Macaca fascicularis: one gene and its partner. Each later gene encodes a partner of the first gene's protein in a complex. Links are inferred from orthologs where the notes say so. Each region holds a gene or a part of one and is shown in the gene's direction. Other genes may lie near its edges.

What was found.
Region 2: ZBTB8OS (region 1) and FAM98B share a complex: the UniProt entries of both Homo sapiens proteins name them as parts of the tRNA-splicing ligase complex. The link is inferred for Macaca fascicularis from reciprocal best matches to the Homo sapiens genes ZBTB8OS and FAM98B.

Annotation. Positions count from the first base shown.
Region 1 is NC_088375.1:202,362,567-202,366,840, forward strand, and holds the start of ZBTB8OS (protein archease), read left to right. Parts: upstream 1-1,214; 5' UTR 1,215-1,226; coding exon 1,227-1,359; exon of another isoform or gene 1,360-1,363; intron 1,364-4,274. UniProt on the Homo sapiens protein: Component of the tRNA-splicing ligase complex required to facilitate the enzymatic turnover of catalytic subunit RTCB. Together with DDX1, acts by facilitating the guanylylation of RTCB, a key intermediate step in tRNA ligation.
Region 2 is NC_088381.1:14,971,263-14,975,082, forward strand, and holds part of FAM98B (protein FAM98B), read left to right. Parts: intron 1-3,595; coding exon 3,596-3,741; intron 3,742-3,820. UniProt on the Homo sapiens protein: Positively stimulates PRMT1-induced protein arginine dimethylated arginine methylation.

The DNA of each region.
Region 1 (4,274 bases):
CACGGCAGAGGTACCCACACTCCTCTCCACCTTCGCGGCGCCAGAACTCCTCGGGGCATCCCCGCCAAACACTCCGTTACCCGTTCCACGCCACCGGGCCAGGCCTTCGGAGCACGCTCGCGCGCGCTGAAACTCACAAGCCCGACTAGAAGGCCCGAGCTCCGAGCCTTGTGGGTAGAAAGCGGTGTCCCGAGGCTCGGGACAGAGGCCGAGAGACCGATATCGAGGGCAGGAGGAGGAACAAACAACCGCCGGGAGCCCCACCGCCAGCTTCGCCAGCGGCGACGGACGTCGGTCCCAGGGAACCCGCGAGCCGTTAGCCCGCCCCGCGGGGAGTTCCCTCTTCACGCCTTCGGTACCGGGAACTGCACTCGGCAAACTCGGGCCTGCCCTCACTGTTAGGCCGTGTCGAGGCCGCGGCTCAGCCCCGGCACCCGCTGCCCTCCTGGGGCGGCCCCGGAACCCTCACCTTCCTTGTCGGCCATGGCGGGCAGACGAGCCGGGGGAACCCTAGGGTCGAGCGTTCCGGGAGGGGCGGGGAGGCAGCAGGCGCTCGCTCTGCGCGCGCGGCCTCTATTGTTTCCTGCGCCCCCAGCGCGAGGGCCGACTCGCGCACCTTCGCGCCAACATCAGCCAATCGGAGCGCTCCTAACGGCGGGAAGGGCGGGGAAGCCGCGCTTGCGACCTATCCAGACGCGCGGAGTAGCTTTCCGCGGGGACCGAGGCGCGCGCTCCGCCCCTCCCCCAACACCTCCCGCCGCCGACTTCTAGCGACTGCGCGCGACAGCGTTGACGGGACTGCGCCCGGCCAGGGTCACGTGAGAGAGGTTTAGTCCACACACTCCCGCGGCCCGAGGGCAGCCATTTTCTTGAAGGCTGTTAAGCTTACAACCCTTTCAGAGTACTGAGATGAAAAATATAGAATGACTTCGGGTCTAATTATAAATTTTGGGGGTGAGGCGGGGAAAAGAACCTCGCCACTCAGAGCCAGAGGGGTTTCATTCAAGGTGCCCTTCAACGTTTTCCCTTAGTCTTGAGAAGGAACTAGTAATGAAGGGAGGGCAGAAGATGGGGTTTTGGCCTTTTAAACATGTGATCCAAGCAACAGGGTCGGGACTAAAGCAGGTTAGCGGCCAACTCCGAGAACGGACTGTGGTTCTTTAGGGGTGTGTGCTCAGGGGCGGGGTCTAGAGCGGAAGTAGTAACTGCGGGCCGAAGTCCGGCGGATGAAGGGCGGAAGTAGAGTGTCTAATCCTGCAGTGATGGCGCAGGAGGAGGAAGATGTTAGAGATTACAATTTGACTGAGGAACAGAAGGCGATCAAGGCCAAGTATCCGCCAGTCAATAGGAAGTACGAGTGTGAGTAGGTGGCTTACTTCTCTCTTTAGATGTGAGCACACAGGCATCCTCTCTCCTTACCCGCAGCTTCCTGCTACTCTTTCTCCTTTGCCCCATAGGTACTTCAAGCGTGATCCCATTTGTGCCGGGTGTTATAGTCTCATTCGTACTTGTCCTGGGGATGCTGAAGGAAAAAGCCACCTGGTTTAATAGTCGCGAAACCTGGCCTCTCTCATTTACAGTCTCTTGAACTTCTTTCACATGTGCCTAATCACATTTATCTTCGTAAATTCTAAAGATAACCATATTTTCAGGCGTTTGCAGGGTTGTTACTCCCATGTATTTCCCAACGGTGAGATAAGAGTGTGCCAGGTTAGAGGACTCGGAAAGCTAATTAGGGGATTTCTAACTTGATGTTTCACCTCGATCATATTAGCAAAAAGACCTGGTTTTGCCATTTATGATTGTGATTTTTAAAAATGATTATTTTACGTCGGGCGCGGTGGCTCACGCCTGTAATCCCAGCACTTTGGGAGGCCGAGGCGGGCGGATCACCTGAGTTTGGAAGTTCAAGATCAGCCTGACGAACATGGAAAAAACCCGTCTCTACTAAAAATAAAAAATTAGCTGGGCGTGGTGGCGCATGCCTGTAATCCCAGCTACTCGGGAGACTGAGGCAGGAGAATCGCTTGAACCTGGGAGGCGGAGGTTGCGGTGAGCCGAGATCGTCCCATTGCACTACAGCCTGGGCAACGAGCGAAACTGTCTCAAAAAAAAAATACATATATATATATATGTTTTTAGAGATGGGGTCTCGCTCTGTCGTCCAGGCTGGAGTGCAATGAAGAGATCATAGCCCGCGCTGCAGCGCCCATCTGGTTTTGCCATTTATTCGCTTAGTGACTTTAGGCAAATCACATAACCTATCTTCGTCTCTTAAATTCTATATTAAACGTTAAGCTGTCATCCCTAAAGGTAGCTGTGGTTTGGGGAGCACAAATCTGACTTTTATTTATCTGCTTAAAAACTTTCATTAATTTCTCATTGTCCTCTCTGTAAAATCTACTTATTTACCATAGTATTCTAGGCTCTGTGCTTTCTGGACCTGGCATACCTCCTAGCATATCCCCTTCTCTCACTTAAAAACAATTTTAAAATATAGGCCGGGCGCAGTGGCTCACACCTATAATCCCAGCACTTTGGGAAACCGACATGAGTGGATCCCCTGAGGTCAGAGTTCCAGACCAGTCTGGCCAACGTGGTGAAACCCCGTCTCTACTAAAAATGCAAAAATTAGCTGGGCATGATGGTGGGCGCCTGTAATCCCAGCTACTCGGGAGGCTGAGGCAGAAGAATTGCTTGAACCCAGGAGGTGGAGGTTGCAATGAGCTGAGATCACAGCACTGCACTCCGGCCTGGGCAACAGAGGGATACTGTCCCCGCCCCCCCCCCAAAAAAAAAGATTGGATGCTGTGGCTCACGCCTGTAATCCCAGCACTTTGGGAGGTTGAGGCGGGTGGATCACCTGAGGTCAGGAGTTTGAGACCAGCCTGGCCTGGCCAACATGGTGAAACCGCATCTGTACTAAAAATGCAAAAATTAGATGGGCATGTTGGTGGGCGCCTGTAATCCCAGCTACTTGGGAGGCTGAGGCAGGAGAATTGCTTGAACCCGGGAGGCGGAGGTTGCCATGAGCTGAGGTTGCGCCATTGCACTCCAGCCTGGGTGACAGATCTGGGCCACAGAGCCTGACTCTGTCTCAAAAAAAACAATTATTTTTAATAAGTCATATATATTGATTCGAAATTCAGAAAGTGTGACGTAACGCAGTGAAAAGTAACTCTGGCAGCCCCCATCCCCAACCACCTAGTTCCCCTCTATAGGGCAGTCATCGTTACCTTTTTCTTACATGTACATACCTAGATGTTCTAGCATTTACTTTAACCAGTTTTCAGTTGATGGATGTTTAGGCTATTTTTACTCTTGTGGTATTAGAAACAGTGCAGCAGTGAATACACTTGTACATCCATTGTTTTGTACATGTGCAAGTGAATCTGTAGAATCAAGTTCTCCAAGTTAAATTGCTTTGCCAAAGGATATGTGCGTTTTTTTTTGTTTCCGTTGCTAAGACTCATACGTTTTTTAAAAGGATATTTTAACTTAGACAGTTATTGCCAAATTGCTCTCTATAGAAGTTGTACCAATTTATACTTTCACTAGTATTGTGTGAATGTGCCTCTTTCCTCCCACTTTTACCGTTACCATACTTTTTGGCCTTTTCCAATTTGTAAAGTATACTTACTGTATTTTTCTTATTGTAAGTGAAGTTGAACATATTATAGTGTTTTGGAAGCTATTTGTATTTCCCATACTGGGGTGTGTATGTTAATATTCTTAGCCCTTTTTTCTCTTGGGTTATTTTTTTTTCTCTTGGGTTACTAGTTTTTCTTACTAGGCAGATAGTATTGTTATGCAGTGCAGCTCATTAACCTGTGGTCCCCAACTTTTTTGGCACCAGGGACTGGTTTCACGGAAGTCAGTTTTTCCACCAATGGGCGTTGTAGGGGAGTATGGTTTCAGGATGATTCAAGTGCATTACATTATTGTGCATTTTATTTCAGTTTTATTACATTGTAATATATAATGAAATAATTATACAGCCCACTGTAATACAGAATCAGTGGGAGCCCTGAGCTTGTTTTCTTGCAACTAGGTGGTCCCATATGGGGGTGACAGATCATCAGGCTTTAGATTCTCATAGGGAGCACACAACCTAGATCCCTCCAATGTGCAGTTCACAATAGTGTTCAAGCTCCTATGAGAATCTAATGCTGCGCCTGATCCAAAAGAAGGTGGAGCTCAGGCAGTAATGTAGGCAATGGGGAGTGGTTGTAAATATAGAAGAAACTTTGTGAGCTCATGTCCTGCTGTGCTGC
Region 2 (3,820 bases), on another chromosome or scaffold:
TGAGAGATTTTTTTTTAAATGAAAGTAAAAAAATAAGTGCTATGCTGCTTAAGAGAGGTCTGTGGACTAGCAGCATCATCACCACCTGGGGAGTAGAAATGCAGAATCCCAGACTTCATTCCGGCTCTACTGAATTAGAATCTTTATTTTAATAAGACCCTCAGGAGATTCCTATGCACATAAAAGTTTAAGAAGCACTGTTCTAGCCAGAAAAGTGCTTTCATATTCTTACTCAGTTATCTAGCAGAATATTTTGAGACACTTCTGTTGCATAAGACATTTCTGGATGGTGACAGAACAATAGGGGCTAAGAGTGCGGGGCTGTACAGAGAGGTTGTGTGGCTCGGTTCTGGGACGATTGTTCGCTATGATCATGGCCATCCCGTACGAATTATTTACCTGTATCGTCCTGAGCTTCCTCATCTGTAAAATGAAGCTAATAATCGTATCTACCTTATAGGGTATTGTGGCAATTAAATGAATTTATATAAATCATTTAGTGCTGACCCAACATACAGTTAGCACTTTATAAATGTTAGCCACTATTGTGATTTTGATTGTTAATTAGATGTTCAGGTATGTTAAATGCATTTATTTTTTCCTCTTTTTATTTTTACTTCACCTGATGAGCTAAGGCGTTAAAAGATTAGATCTTTTTTCCAAATTCAGAATTTTTTGTGATTTGACCAGTTTTTGTTGGTTTTTATTATTGACATTTCAGTTAAAAAAAAAAACTTACACCAATATGAATTAGTTAAATTCTTTCAAGAGTTTATGAGTATTGCTTTATTGCAGAAATGAAAGCAAGTAAGAGGATCTAAGATGTTTACTATGAAATCTCATTGAGAGGCATTGTAAGACATGGAGGAAGGCTGAGTCATAGAAGAACCAGCCTTGAGCTGGGGGTGCAGAAATAATGTTCTAGTCTCAGCTCTGCCTTTACTTGGCTGTATCAGCTGGACCAGGTTTTTTCCTTAGTTTCCTTATAGTTGTAGATAGAGGTCTAACAAGACCTATGTTAACGATGGAGCATTTGGGTTAAACGTGGATTTAAATGCTAGTGCCATCTTCTGATTCTACACAATTAGGATAATGCTAACTTAAAGCATTGCTGTAAAGATTAAATGAAACATATATATGTATGCATGCCTAGCACTGTGCCTGGCCTGCTACATAAAGGCAGGTTTCCTAATGTCATGAAGTCTTAGTTTCTTTACCTACAAAATGAGGATTTGAAAATACCTGTACTCACCCTTCATCTGATATAACCAGAGAATTCAAAGAAAAAGAAATGCAAGTGGCCTTTAAACATATGCAAAGATGCCCTATGTCTTGCTCATAAGAGAAATGTAGATAAAACTATACTGTTACCAGATGGTCAAAACCCCAAAAGTTTGACAACTTTGGTGAATGATGAGGGAATGGGTACTCTGATGCCTTGATGGTACAACCCCTCTACAGGAGAATTTCATAGTATCTAGCAAAGTTATGTATCTGTTTACCCTTTGACCCAACAGCCTCACCTCTAGGAATCTATCCTAGATATAAACTGACAAAAATTTGCTGAACTATATTAATAAAACACTGGAAACAGTCCAAGTGTCCTTTAGTAGATGCTGATTAAATAAAATATGGTGCATCCAGACAGTGGGGTAGTATATAACTGTAAAAAAGGGTTGAATAATATCTCTAAATACTGATCTCTACTAATGTAAATGTATGTGTGTGTGAGCATGTATGTGTTTAAAGCAAGGACTAGAACAGTATATAGTAGGCTACCTTTTATCTGAAAGAGGAGACAAAAATGCATATATTTATGTTGAAAAACATGATGGAAGGACAATCCCAAACTAATAAATATGGTCACCTGGAGGGGAGGGAGGGAACAGAGTAGAGGATACAAGATTAAAATTGCAAACTAGATTTTTCTGAAGTACTTTGTTTTTTAAGTTAGGCTTTGAAACCGCATTAATGTTTTACATAATTATAAGACAAAAATGCAATAAAAAGAAACAAATCCCTATAAATTAAAAGCTGAACAAAACAGATGTCTATTGATGTATCAAGTAGGTGGTTTAATCACATGGGAATGGTTTTTCTCTATATCCTTACAGGAATACATTGTAAATATAAAAAAATTAAACTGTAATTTTATTGTTGGTAGTAAGCTAGATTTCCTATTCTGAAGCCATATGTAATTTATACCTATTTTAATATATATTAGGAATTTGTAAATGTTAATTAAAACAAGATTTGTTATTGTAAGAGAAGATAAAAATGTAAAACAAAATAAGTAAAACCCCTACAATTCTAAATGCCAGTTGGAAATAGCAATATGAACTCCTAATATAGTTTCTCTGAAAAAGGCATAGAAACAGTGCCCAACCTTTGGTACCAGATTATGTACTCTAAATACCATTAAAAGAATCGGGGCTCCTTGGAGAAATGCCTGATTCCAAGTCTAAGGCAGGAAGATGATGTTGTAGAAAGCAAGGAAAGTATTCAGAGAGTACGGGGGACAAGACAAAGGGCTCCATTGGCCTATGTAAATGGGCTACTACAAATCAGACATAGAAGAATTTGAATATCAAAAGAATAATAACTGTAATGGATGAAAACACATCAAATATATTATCTATGAGGTTATAATGTTAACAAAAGTTCAGTTACAAAAAGAACCATAAAAGTAGAAAACTGATCATCTAATTTAGTTAAGATAGTATATAAAGTGTTTTGAAAATTTAAGATTCTTGTGAAATACAACTTGCAGAAATGTTTAAAAGTGTAAAATTATAAATAAATGAGGCCAGTCACGGTGGTTCACACCTGTAATCCCAGCACTTTGGGAGGCTGAGGTGGGTGGATTGCTTGAGCTCAGGAGAGCCTGGCCAACATGGCTAAACCTCCTTTCTACTAAAAATACAAACATTAGCTGTGTGTGGTGGCGGGTGCCCATAATCCTAGCTACTCTGGTGGCTGAGGCATGAGAATCCCTTGAACCCAGAAGGCAGAGATTGCAGTGAGCTCAGATTGTGCCACTACACTCCTGCCAGGGTGACAGAGTGAGACCCTGTCTCAAAAATAAACAAATAAGTAAATAAATAAAATAATATAAAATAAAAGGTTTAGATTAAAATGATCTAATAGGTTCTTTTCAACTTTAGCTTTTTTAAATTTGTAATTTGTATCTGTGCTTTTTTCCACCACACTTTTATTGTAATTAATGTAAGGTTATTAGACTTTATGCTGTATTTGACTTTGTGATATCTGTGGAATTTATCTTAAAATTGGTAGATAATTTTACTGTGGAATGTTAAAATGTAGGAAAAAAGCTAAATGTTAATTATATAGAGCAGGAATCAGCAAACCATTTCTTTAAAAGGCCATGTAGTGGTCATTTTCAGTTACAACTACTTAGCTCTTCCATTGTAGTGTGGAAACAGCCATAGCTAATTTGTGGATTAATACATTTAATGGCTGTGTTCCAATAACATTTTATTTACTAAAACAAGCAGCAGACCTTGACACAGAGTATTGAAAGCTTTTTTGTTTGATTGGCTTATTTAGTTTTTAACTGGTATTTCTTCCTTTCTAGGTATAAAGGACCATTGTTAGAAGAGCAAGCCCTTACGAAGGCAGCAGAGGGTGGATTATCTTCACCTGAATTTTCAGAGCTCTGTATTTGGTTAGGCTCTCAAATAAAATCATTATGCAACTTGGAAGAAAGTATCACGTCTGCTGGTATTGCCATTATGTTTTATGTACTTTTCTGTTTAATAGTAAAATAAACTGATAACTTATGGCTTATAGTTTTATCAAT